2 linked regions of the Caenorhabditis elegans genome follow. The protein of the gene in region 2 interacts with the protein of the main gene of each other region in a pairwise test. Each region holds a gene or a part of one and is shown on either strand. Other genes may lie near its edges.

The links. The genes of interacting proteins can lie anywhere in the genome.
Region 1: the proteins of csn-4 (region 2) and gcl-1 interact in a two-hybrid assay, tested with the Caenorhabditis elegans proteins (one large-scale study listed by BioGRID).

Annotation. Positions count from the first base shown.
Region 1 is NC_003282.8:13,406,477-13,414,862, reverse strand, and holds gcl-1 (BTB domain-containing protein), read left to right. Parts: upstream 1-1,967; 5' UTR 1,968-1,973; coding exon 1,974-2,171; intron 2,172-3,227; coding exon 3,228-3,314; intron 3,315-3,358; coding exon 3,359-3,805; intron 3,806-4,952; coding exon 4,953-5,221; intron 5,222-5,268; coding exon 5,269-5,341; intron 5,342-5,386; coding exon 5,387-5,532; intron 5,533-5,579; coding exon 5,580-5,850; 3' UTR 5,851-6,538; downstream 6,539-8,386. Other genes in the region: Transcription factor aptf-2, read left to right, coding at 1-483, 532-875, 932-1,187; Y62E10A.19 (Neuropeptide-Like Protein), read left to right, coding at 6,701-6,868, 8,246-8,386.
Region 2 is NC_003282.8:1,082,950-1,090,463, reverse strand, and holds the start of csn-4 (COP9 signalosome complex subunit 4), read left to right. Parts: upstream 1-3,450; 5' UTR 3,451-3,456; coding exon 3,457-3,536; intron 3,537-4,154; coding exon 4,155-4,240; intron 4,241-5,695; coding exon 5,696-5,856; intron 5,857-7,430; coding exon 7,431-7,514. Other genes in the region: cct-8 (T-complex protein 1 subunit theta), read left to right, coding at 349-583, 1,177-1,530, 2,462-2,652. UniProt on the Caenorhabditis elegans protein: Component of the COP9 signalosome complex (CSN), a complex involved in various cellular and developmental processes.

The sequences.
Region 1 (8,386 bases), about 12 Mb from region 2:
ACGCTCAACTCTACTGTTCCAACGGAACCCGTGGTGGGACCTGTGGAACCTACAGTACCTACAGTACCCGCCACAAAAGAGACTGGCCCTTCAAGCTCTGCAGAGTGCTCTACCCAACCCGCCGTTGCCGAGCAAGAAGACAACTCCCTTTTGGCACAACTTTTAAAAGGAAAAATCACGTCTGATGATGCAAAGTTGCAACCACCACGTGGACCTTTCGAATACGCACCGATGCTCTCCGAGGAGGCACAATTTGCGATTAAGCTGGCGGGTCTTCTCAACCCGAATCCGGTCACTGAACAGGACCCGAGCACTTTCAAGCCGCCTCCGAAAATGAGCAATAATGTTCGAAAAAACATTAATTTGACTCCGGTTATTGAGAATGCAGTTCCGAGTGGATTTGAACTGGAAAGTCCGAAAGATCAGGCATTTGATGTGGTTCATGGAAGACTATCTATGGGACAGAATCAGACATGTTATTTTGTACGTTTACGGTAGAAGTTCAATATTAAAATTTAAATAATCTTCCAGGTCACAGTCGAGGAAATGAGACGAAGATTGCAAAGTCCGGAGAAGCTCAATAGTTCGAGTATCGCATGCAATCTTAAAAGGCCAAAACTGAAGAATGGAGGTGAACTGATGCGCGCTCAACTGAGAGATCATGGAATCAAGGTTCAACTGAATGCGAAACAGAAGGCTTTTCCCAACAAAGTGATCGCTTTGGTCGAAGCGGAAGCTGTTCATTTGGGACTTGATCTTGGAACAGCTGTACGAGATGATTATCCAGTTCAAGATATAATTCAAGAAGTTGCTCATGAAGCATTGGCTGACGAGGATGCAGATCTGGATGCGTTGATGAATGATAAGGATTTCACGTAAGTTGACTATATTCCAATTTCTCAATTCTGACGCCAAATTCCAAATATTTCAGAGAATGTATGTCAGCACTTGAATCAGTTTTCACATCAGTCGTCCCTCCGATCACTGGAATCGAGCCAAAACCGTCGAACAACATGCGACTGAACAATGGAATGGAGACCTTTTCATCAGCTTCACATGGACTTGGAATCGTGTCTCAACGGGTTTGGCTCCCCCAATTGACTGCAATCGGAAATGGAGTCGCATCTGAACTTCGACGCTTGACAGAGACGCCAACTGAATCAAAGCCAGAGGAATTGAAAGCATAAATTCATATTTTCATATTCTGATATTTAAAACAATCTGATTACCAAGGTCTCACTTATTTTCCATGATCTCTATGATGTTTTCACTTAATTTCAATGAAACTTTTTATTTATTTAAATCCTCATACGATGTTCCTTAGTACTAGGAAATGCATCATTAAAAATGATTTTCATATTGCTAGTACGTCTTATAGAGTAGCTTCGAATTCACTTTATACATTTGAATAATATTGAATTTTATAGGTTTTACACATCATTTTGATCATTTTGATGTGTAAAACTTTGAAAAATTCATTATTATTCAAATGTATAAAATGAATTCGAAGCTTCTCTATAAGACGTACTAGCAACATGAAAATAATTTTTAATGATACATATTCCAAAACTGAAAATTAGGAATTTCTTTACCCCCGTTCCTCACGTGAAAACATTTATTGACCCTGTGGCAATGTGCGCTTGCGCGTCTGCGTCTCCAGAAGGCGTAATCTCTCGTGTTCAAACACTTTCTCAACTGACCATTTGTTTGCGTCGTTGCCGACGGCTTAACCATATGTTGCCTTTTCCCCCTTACATTTATACAAGACAGTAATATTAATAAATCGGTTTGATCTACAAAAATGCGGGAATTTTTTGGTCAAAAAATGTGACGTCAGCACGTTCTTAACCATTCGAAATCAGTTGACAGCTCTGCATCTAAATTCCCGCATTTTTTGTAGATCTAAGTAAATCCAGCTGAAATGAGCCATCTGACACCACGTGATTTACTGAAACATTATTTTCCAGTCAAAAATGGGATTAGCTCAGTCCCACTCGCGGACGCCCTCTCGTGATCCACTTCCAAATGACCATCAAGTAATGGATGTGTATGAAGAGTCTGGTCCAAGACGGGGAAGAAAACGAAAAGCGGCAAAAGGAAGTGAGATTGAGATGAAGAAAGTGGCAAAACTGAACACATGTGCATATGTATATCAGAAATTGTTTTTACAGGTTAGAATAAATTGAATTTTTAGTGCAAAATGGGTAACTAAAATATGGAGTTGACTAAATTAATGCAATAAAATTCCAAAATGAATGTTTTGTTTCAACAAATTTGAGATTTCTTCGTCACGAATCTGGTAAATTGTGTTTTTTTTTAATTTTGTAACATGGAAAAAGAAAAAACTGATTATTTAGTTCGAAAACCTACATTTTAGTATTTTTTCACTAATTATGCCAACTATATACCGTATTTCCTCTATTAGTCTTGCATGCAAGAGAAAATTGCCAAAATTGTTACTATTGTGCTGAAATTTTATTCTCAGAATTTTTAAAATTACAGGCAAAACAGGGCCACTCGTAATTTTGAACGTCTACCAAAAATTGATTTTTACTATGATTTTGGAATTTTTAAAATTCCGGAAATATCGTAAATTTTTCCAAAAGTCCAAATTTTTTGAAAATTTGACATTTTATCAAAGATTTTTTCGGCGTTTTTCAATTGAGACATATCTTTTTTTCGCATTTTGAGTATGCAATTGATGAAAAATTTCAGAATTATCACAAATTTCAGTACAAAACAGTTTAATACTGAGAAATTAATTTTTTAAAAACTTAATTTTCACAGGTATGTAGTTTCAGAAATTTTCACTCAATCAGAGGTGCGCGACAATCGAGTTTTCGGCAATTTCGGAAATTGCCAAACATTTTGAAACCCAGCAATTGTCGGAATTGCCGGAAATTTCCAAAACCGGCAATTGCCGAAACTGCCTATTGCCGAAAATTTTGAAAACCGGCAATTATCGGAATTGCCGGAAATTTCCAAAACCGGCAATTGGCGAAATTGCCGGAAATTTTGAAGACCGGCACTTGCCGAAAATTTCCAAAACCGGCAATTGCCGTAAATTTTGAAAACCGGCAAATGTCAGAATTGCCGGAAATTTCCGATTGCCGCCAAAAAACTATGACCATAATTATTTTGAAATTCCTTTGTATAATTAGTAGGGAAAGAAAACAATTCAATTGAAAGAAATTTGGAAATTTTCTCAAATTTCGTTATTTTTTCAGGGAGAAAATTCGGACATTGTCCTGGCTGCGTGTGGCAGGGAATGGAGGGTTCACAAGCTTTATCTAAAGCAGACCAAATTTTTTGAAGTGAGTTTTTTGAATTGTTTCAAATTAATTTCGAATGCTTTTAGTCAATGTTCGATGGTTTATGGACAGAGTCGAATAGTGGAAGAGTTCAGATGGAAATAACAGATCCGAATATTGACGCAGATGGTCTAAACTCGGTGCTCGGAAGTCTATATCACAATGAGATTGAGATAGATTTGGATAAAATCGAGGGAACTGTGGCAGCGGCTTCATATATTGTACTTGATAGTGTCACAGATAGATGTTCAGAAATGATGATTGAAGCATTAAGCACAAAGAATGCAGTTCGATTCTACGATGTTTCAACTAAATATGGTCTGGAGAAGGTTCGAGAGAAATCGATGGAAGTATTGTTACACCAATTTTGGAAAATAATGACTGATAGGGAGAAGCTCAATGAAGTTGATCGACAGCTTTTTGTGACGCTTCTCAATTCACCCAATCTTTTGATAATTGAAGGCGAATTTGATCTTTATAAAGTTGTTAAATCTGTAAGTCATTTCTCATTCCCGAAAATTTAAAACCGAATTTTAATAATGAGGCTTCTCAAAAATTCGAAAAAAAGTCCAATTTTGCTAAAATCAGCTGGTTCAACAATGAAAAGTTGGCGAAATTTGGCTCGAATTTTTTGGGGGCCAGTATGAGTATTTTAAAACAGTGAAAATTTTTACACTTTTTCACTTTTAATTATCAATAGCAGAAACTAATTCTTCCTAGAACTACAGTAATCCTACACTGCTCCCCAGGGGAGCGCGGCAATTTCCAGAATTGCCGGAAATTTTGAAAACCGGCAATTGCTGGAATTGCCGGAAATTTTGAAAAGCGGCAAATGCCGGAATTTCCTAAACCTTCCGAAACCGGCAACTGCCGCAACTGACGGCAACTGGCAACTGAAACTGGCAATTGCCGGAATTGCCGATTGCCCGAAATTTTGAAAGGCAGCAAATGCCTAAATTGCCGGAAATTTTGAAAACCGGCAAATTCCGAAATTGTCGATTGCCAGAAATTATGAAAACCGGCAATTGCCGGAATCGCCTAAAATTTCCAAAACCAGCAATTGCCGGAATTTCCGATTGTCGGAAACTTTAACAACCGGCAATTGTCCGACTTGCCGATTGCCGGAAATTTTGAAAACCGGCAATTGTCCGGAATGGCCGGGAATTTTTGAACACCGGCAATTGCCGGAATTCCCGATTGCCGAAAGTTTTGAAAACAGGCAATTGCCGGAATCGCCGGAAATTTCTAAAACCGGCAATTATCGGAATTGCCGATTGCCGAAAATGTTGAAAACAGGCAATTGCCGGAATCGCCGGAAATTTCCAAAACCGGCAATTATCGGAATTGCCGATTGCCCGAAATTTCCAAAACCGGCAATTGCCGGAATTGTCGATTGCCGGAAATGTTGAAAACAGGCAATTGCCGGAATTGCCGATTGACAAGAATTTTGAAAACCGGCAATCGCCGCAAATTTTCACATCTACAACACTACTACGAGACCCCGACAACTCATTATTCAAACTACAGTACCCCTACAGTAGCCCTACACTAAACCCAACCCTCCACTATTTCGAAAGACAAATTCTAATTTTTTCTGACTATAAATAAAAATTGTATTTTATATATAGAAAATGATTACAGTGGATCTACATGCGAGAAGTGCCCGATTGCTGCAAGGATGACAGTCCAGAGACTTTCACTCAAAATGCTTCCAAATTTTTCAAAGAATCGAAAACTTCAATGTTCATAAAATATGCGGATATCTTTGCCAGTCTACGAATAGAACAGTTTTTGACATGTTCTGAAACTATAAAAACAGTCAAATCAGATGCATTAATTCCGTTGTCAATTGTTGATGAAATGACGTCAGCACTTTGGTCATCACTTTTAGAAAATGAAGAAAGTCCAAAGTAAGTTCGAAAGTCGACAGAATAGTGATAAACTTTGAGCTGTTCAGAACACTTGAAATGGATGATGATGAGTTTTTTAAACGATGTATTAGGCTTGGTAGATCATTGGATTCATTCCCGGTTAGTTACTTATTCGAAATCTAAAAAATCTTTTTAAAATTATAGAAATGCTGGCGATGGATAGGATTCAATTTCGGAGTTGATCTACTTCTTCATGTAAACGACTATTCTGTATGTATAAAACGAAATTGTCTCAACCAAAAAGCTCCGTATTCGGTGAACTTAAAGTCTAAACATGTTCTACATTACCGGTAAGTTGTTGGTTGCCACGATTTTCAAGATAAATAGTCAAATTCAGACTGGTCATTTGCGACTCAAATGGTCAAATCCTCTATGACAGTGGAAAAACCACGTGGGAAATGAAGCCAGATGAAGCTAGAACAATCTATCGAATGAGTGAAGACTTGGCAACTCAGATATCAGTTCACTTTCAGTATCTGATTCATCAACCGATTTGTAGTACAGGTCATTATGTGAACAAGTATCTAGATGATCAGAATTCTACTGATGATGAAGACGATGAGGAAGAAGAAGATGATGATGGAGATGACGAAGAAGACAGCTCGTAGTTTTCAATTATCGGAGGACTGACGGTTCGGACGATTTCAAACTTATAGACCCAAAATGTGCTCAAATGAAAGAATTTCGTAATGAAACTTCTCAAAAATTTTTCAAAGATTTTTTTATGGCGGTTAAAAAATTAAAAAAATATTACACTGAATTTAGCTAAAATCCCGAATTTTGGCCACTTTTCCGTATCATATCTGTCCGAAGTTTACTTTTTCGGAATTATCATCCTTTATTGCATATTTTGGTACTTTATCTTATTTAATTTCGTTTATTAAAGTACATTTAAAGGCGATAGGTAACCAAAAATCATCGAAATTGGCTAACTATCGGCTTAAATGTACTACCAAAAAATGCAATAAAGGATGATAATTCCAAAAAAGTCAACTTCGGACAGATGTAACACAGAAAAGTAGCCGAAATTCGAGATTTTAGTTAAAATCAGTGTAATTTTTTCGAAATTTTGAACCACCATAAAAATTTTTTGAAACATTTTTGAGAAGTTTCATTACGAAATTTGTCCATTTCAGCCCATTTTGGGTGTATACGTTCAAAACCGTCCGAACCGTTAGTCCTCCTATAAATGTTTTTTCTTGTGCATTATGTATTAGAACCCAACTTGTACATCTATGAACATGTAATATATATCTATGCAACATAATAATAATAAAAACAATTGCATCTATATCACTGACTAAGTATTTTGAGTGTGTCTCAGCCAGTTCTCAAGGGCAGAACCTGATATATATATATTGATGGGTGACTTCACGCTGTGAACTTTCGATTATTTGCCGATATATTTTGCCCACCTTCACACAACCCTTCACGCAGGACTTCTTTAATGAAGCGAACATGATCCGAATAGCCTTTGCCGTTCTTATTTTAGTTTCGGTGGTTACCACACAACCACTGCTATTTCCGCACGGATGGTTCGAAAGCAAGAATTTACGACCGCGAGATGCAATTATGCTGAACATGATGGCACAGTCGAATCTTGAATATGGAGGTGTAACCTTAGAGGTAATTGGAATAGTGTGCGTTTAGTCATTTTTTACAAGAATGTAGGTTAAAATGGCCCAAAAGACCAAATTTAACAATAAGACTTTTTTGAAAATTCCCAAAAATGTTTCAAAATTTCGATTTAAATTAATTCAGTCTGAACCTAGAATTTTGCTTTTTTCAATCACAGATAACGAATTAATTATATTTTTGACGGGGGTATTTGAATATTAGGTACTTGTGCATTACATGCCCTCATTTTCAAATTAAATTAAATTGTCATTAATTTCTCCAATTAAAATAAACGTGATATACATTTTTCCTCTTTAGGCTTAGAAAATGTTATTTTCTAAGCCTAAAAATACAAATTGTGGTTCACGTTTTTATTTTTCATGGCTTAAAAAATTACTATTAAGATGAGGGCATGTAATACACAAGTACCGAATATTACAGGAACATTTAAAATCTGAGAATGCGTATTGTGCAACATATTTGACGCGCAAAATATCTCGTAGCGAAAACTACTACAGTAACCCTTTAAATGCCTACTGTAGAGCTTGTGTCGATTTACTGATATCATTTTGTAATCGATCAAAAATATTGTAAGAAAACAAAAAATGGCATTAAAAACTATTTTTAAAAAATTGGAAAGCGGAAATTTTTCGATTGTTCAATTTTCCGCTATTTCGAAAAAATCGATTTTTTTGAGAAATAGCTTAAAATTTCGGTATTTTTCTTTTTTATATGAAAAATATATATTTTTCATGTTTTTTCTCATCAACATGAACAAAATTTGGTTAAAAAATTATATTTTATGGTTTATTTTATTTTCCGAATAATCGAACATTTTTCATTTTTAGTTTTCCCTGGAAAAATCAGAAAATCGTTTCGGAAATCGAGCCCGTTAATCGACACAAGCGCTACAGTAGTCACTTAAATTATTACTGTAGTTTTCGCTACGAGATGTTTTGCGCGTCGAATATGTTGCATCCTCAGATATTTGTGTTCCCGTAAAAATAAAAATACTTACAAAATTGGAGATTTTACCTAAATTTTAGTCCACAATAAATTTTTACACGATTTCAAAGAAGTCTCGTTATAAAATTCTGTCTTTTGGGACCATTTCGAGCACGTTTTAAAAATCGGCGAAAAAAATTGAACCCAAAATAACGTGGTGCCAGAGTGTCCCATATTGGTTTGATCTACGTAGATCTACTAAAAATGCGGGAGAAGAGACGCAGGCTTCTCAACTGATTTCACATGGTTGAGAGCGTGGTGACGTCACATTTATTGGGCAAAAAATTCCCGCATTTTGTGTAGATCAGCCCGTGATGGGACAGTCTGACATCACGTGAAAATGCGTCAGTATTAGAAATACTATAGAACTCTACATTTTAGGAGCTAGACAAGCTTGATGCCGTTCGAAAGCAGATTCCTCGTCCAGAAAAGTTAGCAAGAGATCGAGAGGAAGACGATGTGGAGCTGGATAGACAACCAATTTTTACAGCGGAAGGTGAAAAGATTGCAGTTGAGAAGAAG
Region 2 (7,514 bases):
ATTTGAGATTTTGTTGCTTTTTAGTCGAAAAATGCTACATTTTCAAAAGAAAAAAGCCCGTAAAATACGATTTTCCAAGTGAAAACTGGAGTTTTCATCTAAAAAGTGTGATTTTCTGCCTGAAAATTACATTTTGAACTGAAAAATGTGATTTTTCGGGTTGGAAATTCGGTTTTAATGCCAAAAATTGGACTTTCCTCAGCTTACAATATGATTTTCGAGCTCAAATATACATTTTTCAACAGAAAATGACAATTTTCAGCCAGAAAAATGTGATTTTCTTGCTAAAAATTCAATTTTTTACGCCCAAAAATTCAATTTTCCCTAAAAAAGTTCCCTATATTTCAGGTTGTCGTCGCCGCTGGAAAGTTCGGAGACATGTACCTCCATTTCCTGAATAAATACAAAATTATGGCCGTCCGTCTTACATCAAAATTCGATCTTCGCCGCCTCTGCCGTACCGTCGGAGCTCAACCACAAGCAAGAATCTGTGCTCCAGCTGTTAATCTGTTGGGACACTGTGATTCTGTGGCTGTTCAAGAGATTGGAGACGAAAATGTCGTCGTTTTCGATAAGAAATCGGGTATATAATGTGGAAAAACTGAGAATTTAGGAAATTTTGACCCCCAAAACGGGAATTCTCCGATTTTTTGTAATTTTTAGCTCTGGAAACCTTTTAAAAAAACGATTTGGCGAGTTTTGACTCAAACAAGTATGATTTTTACAATGTTAGACCAAAAAATTCGGAATTTTCGACGGTTTTCAGTCGAAAATTGTGATTTTCGTATAAAACTGCGGAATTTGATGAGCTTAGACCAAAATTTCTACCGTTTTTACCTGAAAATTGTCACTTTTTAATGAATTTTTATTTCAAAAACGGCCTGTTTTTGAAGATTTGGACTCCCACGAGGTGTTTTTCACCGATAATTTGCCATTTTCTGTGAATTTTCACTTGAAAACTGAAATTTCAGCTGAAAATTCCGGTTTTTTACTTAAAAATTTAGATTTTTGAAAATTTTGCAAATAAAACCTCAAAATTTGAGCTGTAAATTCCCAATATTTTGGCCAAAAATTTACCATTTCAGCTGAAAATGTTAAAATTATCACTGAAAAAGCCAATTTTTAGCCAAAAATTCAAATTTTCAGCTTCAAATCTCAATTTTCTCAAATTTTCAGAAACCGGAAAAGTCGCCACAATCATAATCCGTGGATCCTCTCAATCTCGTATTGATGACGTCGAAAGAGCTGTCGATGATGCTGTAAACACCTATAAAGCTCTTACAAAAGACGGGAAATTGCTCGCCGGAGCCGGAGCCGTCGAAATTGAGCTCGCCAAAGAAATTGAGTCGTTTGGAGCAAAAGCACCTGGTTTGGAGCAATATGCAATCAAAAAGTTCGCCCACGCACTCGAAACTCTTCCAAAAGCTATTGCTGAGAACGCTGGAATGCCAACCACTGAAACTCTGACAAAACTCTACGCGGAGCATGTTGCTGGAAAGAAAAACGCTGGAATTGATATCTGGAAGCGGGGTACGGCTTGAAAAAACCCAATGAAAGCACTGAAAATTCGAAGAAAATCGAATTTTCGGTTTAAAATCTGACAATTTAGGTCGAAAAATGACTGGAAAACTTTAATTTTTGACTGAAAATTCAAAATTTTCTGCTGAAATTTACCGAAAACATTTCTAACTGAAAATTTGAATTTTCACCGGAATTCCGCTGTTTCTGCTGAAAATCTAACAATTTCGGCTGAAATTCGCCGAAAACCTAAATTTTCCACTGTAAATCCAATAATTTAGGTCGAAAAATGGCCGAAAAACTTGAATTTTACCTGAAAATGTGCATTTTTGACTGAAAATGTGACCGGAAACATCAATTTTCTTTTGTTTTGCTTCACTTTTTTAAAGTTTTCTTCAGTTTTTGCATTAAAATAACTGATTTTTCACAGCTGGAAACCCTCACAAAACCCGGAATTTTCGCTAAAAATAGGCAATTTTCAGTCAAAAGTCAACTGAAATTCTTCCAAAAAACGTCAAAATTTCCAAAAAAAATCCCCCAATTCCAGACAACACATTCAATTTTTGCTAAAAATTCCAAAAAAAAATATCAGCAAACTGACAGAAAATTTTCAAGTTTTAATCAAAATTGGCCAATTTTCCTTTTGAAAAACCTCAACTTTTCGGTTCAAGCTCAGAAAATTAGCTGAAAATCCGAAATTTTCAACTGAAATTTCTTTAAATCAACTCAAAAATGCAAAAAATTGAATGAAAAAATCGAAAACTCAGCCAAAAATCGGCCATTTTCAACTCTGAAAAATGCCAAATTTTCAGGTAAAAATTCCTCAAAACCCCCCGAAATTTTGGCTAAAAATGTCAATTTCCAGCGCATAAAACTTGTAAATTTTCAATCAAAATTCTGAAAAATCCCGAATTTTAAACTAAAATTCCTTCTTTTTTTTCAGAAACAATGGACGCCGTCGTCAACAACATTTTCGACCTCTACGCTGGAAAACGACTGGCAATTAAGCTCGCCACAGACGCCGCCAGCACAATTCTCAAAGTTGATCAGATTATTATGTCAAAGCAGGCGACTGGAGGACCAAAACCACGTGGACCAAAGGCTCAAGATGAGGATGACGATGGAATGGCCTAATTTTTTTGTGTGCATTTTTGCTGAAAAATTGGGGAAATTTGAGTGAAAATGAGCTGAAAATCGATTTTTCAGCGAAATTTTAGACAATTTTCCCCCACTTTTTCAGATTTTCCCCTCGAATTTCCCCGCCGTTTCCCTGGGAATTGAGCTGAAATTGCAATTATCTTGAAAATTCGCTTAACAGTTTTTAGCTCATTTTCCACCATTTTTCCCCGTATTTTTTAAATTTTCCCGCTCTATATGCCTTCTCCGTATGATTTTTTGCAATTTCCCCGTTTTTATTGATTTTCGCTGGAAAATGAGCTGAAAATTCGATTTTTGCTTAAAAATTAATTTTTTTTTTTTAACGCGAAAATTCAGTTCCAAATTTACTCGATTTTGGTCAAATTTAGCTAAAAATTTGCATTTTTCAGCCAAAATTTTCCAGTTTTTGCCAGAAAATGGGCTTAAAATTGTCATTTTCTTCTGAAAAATCGAACTTTTGCCCCATTTTCAGCCGAATTTCAGCCTTTTTCCTCCAATTCTCCATAATTTTTAATGCTATCCCCCAACCCGTTCTGAATCTGAAAATCACAGTTTATGATCTTAAAATTGCGCCTTAAATTCTATAATTTTCAGCTTTTCCCCCTCGAAATTTTGTTTTTTTTTCTCGTTTTTTGCTTCACGTTGTGTTTGTTATAAAATTCTCCAAAAAAATCACAAAAAATTAGAAATTTTAAAGAAAAAATAGTCGAATTTCCTATATTTTTATCTGAAAATTCCCCCCAAAATTTTGTTGTAAAATTTCCACAATTTCAGCTGAAAATGAGCGGCGAAATTGAACGTTCACAGGAGGTGGCGGTCATTTTTGCACAGGATACCGATCACAAGGCTCAATATGAAGCGTAATATTTTTGGATTTTTGAGAAAATTTGGAGCTAAAAATGTGAAAATCTGGAAATTTTTAGCAAAAAATCCCAAATTTTTGTATTTTTCATTGGAAAATCTGAATTTTGTAAATTTTCAGCTGAAAAAATATGAAAAAAAAAAAACGATTTTAGCTATGTAGAAATTTTGAAAAAAAAACGAATTTTCACGCAAAAACATTTCCTAATTTAAAAAATTAGTAAAATTCGCGAAAAATTGAAATTTTTATCTTTTTTTTCCAGAAAATCTGAAATTTTCAAATTTTTATACTTAAAATCTGAAAAATTCTATTTAAAAACTCAAGTTTTCATTTATTTTCTACGAATTTTGAAATGAAAAATTCTTACAAATCCCGCACTTTTTTCGTTCAAAAATTGGAAAAAAACTAATTATTAGCTAAAAAATTTCCAATTTTTGTATCAAAAAACTCGAAAATTCTCAAATTAAAAAAATTTTTTAATTTTTTTGCTGAAAATCACGCTAAAAATTTCAGCTTTTTCACGTAAAATGTGATTTTCTGAAATTTCATGTAATTTTTTAGCTAAAAAGCCGAAATTTTCTCGATTTTCAGACAAAAAATTCCCCGATTTTTGCAGATTGGCGAAGCTTTGCAACAAATATTTGCCACAAAATGCGATGGGACGAGTCGATACGGCGGAAATTATTAAAATCATTGATACAGGTTGGAACACGACGAAAATTTCGGATTTTTCAGTGGGAATCTGGCTAAAAATTACGAAAAATGATGAGTTTTGGTGAAAAAATGGACGAAAATCGCTCAAAATTGGACAATTTGGTTGGAATCTGGCTGAAAATCGATAAATCTCGATAAAAATTGACGGAAAACGAGAACATTTTCGGAATTCCTGTTGAAATTTAGCTGGAAATAAATAAATTACATTGAAAAAAATTTTTTTTTGAATTTTTGGAGCTGAAAATTGGCAGAAAATCCGATTTTTTCAGGAAAAATCTTTAAAAATTTACATTTTTTTTTACAAAATGGACTCAAAATTAGCTTAAATCGCTCAAAAAAGGCTGAAAATTCCATATTTTAAGTGAAATATTTTAAGTGAAAAATATGGAATTTTCAGCCTTTTTCGAGCGATTTAAGCTAATTTTGAGTCCATTTTGTAAAAAAAAATGTAAATTTTTAAAGATTTTTCCTGAAAAAATCGGATTTTCTGCCAATATTCAGCTCCAAATCCAAAAAAAAAAATTTTTCAATGTAATTTATGAATTTTCACAAAAATCCAATTTTTCGTTCGTTTTCTGCAGTTTTGTTTTTTTTTTTTGAAAAGTTAAAAATTTCCTTTAAAAAACGCGAAATTTCCAATTTTTCACGGTAAATGTGATTTTCAGCCAGTAGTTTTCAACCGTTTTTTCGCGGGAAAAATTGAATTTCTAAAGATTTTCCTCGAACAATTCGATTTTTCCGGTATAAAAAGCGACCTTTTACCGATTTTTCACAGAAAATTCAGATTTTGAGCCTTTTTCACCCTCAGAAGCCAAAAAAAACCCCCAAAAATTGGATTTTTCTTGAAAAATTTGAATTAAGAAACTCAAATTTTCAAACCGTTTTTCCACGGAAAAAGTGCGTTTTTCAACGATTTTTCTCGAAAATTCTCAATGTTCTGCGTTTTTAAGCGATTTTCAGCTGATTTTTCACGAAAAAATCGAGTTTTCAGGGATTTTGATATATTTTTCTTGAAAAAATCGGATTTTCAGCTGTTTTTTCCACGGAAAAAGTGATTATTTAACTTTTTTTCCAGAATAATTGGATTTTCAGCCAATTTTAGGCTTAAAATAGGGCCTTTTAACGAAAAATGTGACTTTTAGGACATTTTTCAATTTTTCGCATAAAATTAAATAAAAATGGAATTTTTTTACCATTTTTTTTTCAAATTTTCAGGTTCAAAATAAAGCTTTAAAAAAGTGGAAATTTCTAGTTTTTAGGCTTAAAATAGGCTTCTTAGACGAAGATTTTCAAGCTTTTCGTTAAAAAAAACAGGAAAAAATTAATATTTGTATAAAAAAATTGAATTATCAGCTAAAAATTACAATTTTTGCACTGTTTCAGTGCAAAATTTGTATTTCTTTTAGAATTTTTAGCAGCCTATAACCCCAAAAATGTTTGCAGTAATCGCATTGGAGACTGGAAGTATGGTTGTATCACGTCAATTTGTATCACTTATCACTGAAAGATTGGATAATCAACATTTGGAATCAGAATGTGTTAAGGCTATTTCAGAAGGAATTTTGGCGATTATTAAGACTCGAACCATCTCTTATGAGGATCAGGTACTTGGAAATGCACTGCAACTTTTTCCTCACGAGGGACGAGGAACAGTGGTTTCTAGGCCATGGCCGAGGGGCCGACAAGTTTCAGCGGCCATTTATCTTGCTTTGTTTTCCGCCTGTTTTCTTTCGTTTTTCACAGCTTTTTCCCGTTTTTTCTTATTAAAACTGATAAATAAATATTTTTTGCAGATGATAAAACAATTTCGAAGTAAAAAAATTATGTATTCAGTGGGCAAGCAGCGGTGAAAGTGGGCATTGTAATATGATGGATTACGGGAATACAAAACCTAAATTTTTTCTGAAACATGATACATATGATGCTTAGATGCTGAAGCTACCTGATTTTCATATCAAGACCGCTGAAAAAGTTTTGAGGTTTCCAAAATTCAACTTTTTGTGCGAAAATCTCGACTTTTTCACCAAAAAAGTTGAATTGTGGAAATCTCAAAACTTTTTCAGCGGTCTCGTTATGAAAATCAGGTAATTTCAGCATCTAAGCATCATATGTATCATGTTTCAGAAAAAGGTTAGGTTTTGTATTCCCGTAATCCATCATATTGCATTGACCACTTTCACCGCTGCTTGCCCACTGAATACATAATTTTTTTACTTGGAAATTGTTTTAGCATCTGCAAAAAATATTGATTTATCAGTTTTAATAAGAAAAAATGGGACAAAGCTGTGAAAAACAAAAGAAAACAGGCGGAAAACAAAGCAAGATAAATGGCCGCTGAAACTTGTCGGCCCCTCGGCCTTGGCCTAGAAACCACTTTTCCTCGTCCCTCGTGAGGACAAAGTTGCAGTGAAATGGAGCATTTTGCAGAAAAAATTGAAAAATTTGAAGAAAAACGAACGATTTTATGGGATTCTGCGGAAAATTTGAAGATATTTGAAAAAAAAAATTCGGAATTTTTGGAGTTTTTTAGCAGAAATTCAAAAAAATTTCGATTTAAAATTCAGGATTTTATGTGATTTTTCGGAAAAATTTTCAATCGTTTTTTTTTTCCGATATTTTGGGCTTTAGGCTCAGGCTCAGGCTTAACCCCTTATTTATCGAGAAAAACGTTATAAAATTGAAGAAAAATTGAAGAAAAAGGGCAAAATTCTGGAAAATATCGAAACTCTTTTCAGTTTAAAAATAAAAAATTATTTCACCTAGAAAAATCTAGAAAAATTGAGTTTTCAATGAAAAATTGTGAAAAATGGAGGGAAAAAAGTAGAATTTGGCGTAAAATTCTAAAAGAAATACAAATTTTGCACTGAAAAAGTGCAAAAATTGTAATTTTTAGCTGATAATTCAATTTTTTTATACAAATATTAATTTTTTCCTGTTTTTTTTTAACGAAAAGCTTGAAAATTTTCGTCTAAGAAGCCTATTTTAAGCCTAAAAACTAGAAATTTCCACTTTTTTAAAGCTTTTTATTTTGAAACTGAAAATTTGAAAAAAAAAAGGCAAAAATTCCATTTTTATTTAATTTTATGCGAAAAATTGAAAAAAATTGGAAAAATGTCCTAAAAGTCACACATTTTTCGTTAAAAGACCCTTTTTTAAGCCTAAAATCCCAATTTTTCAGGTCTGTATCCTCCGCCTCATGCTTGCAAGCCTCTACGAAAAAGAAGGCCGTATCAAGGACGCGGCCCAGGCCCTAATCGCAATA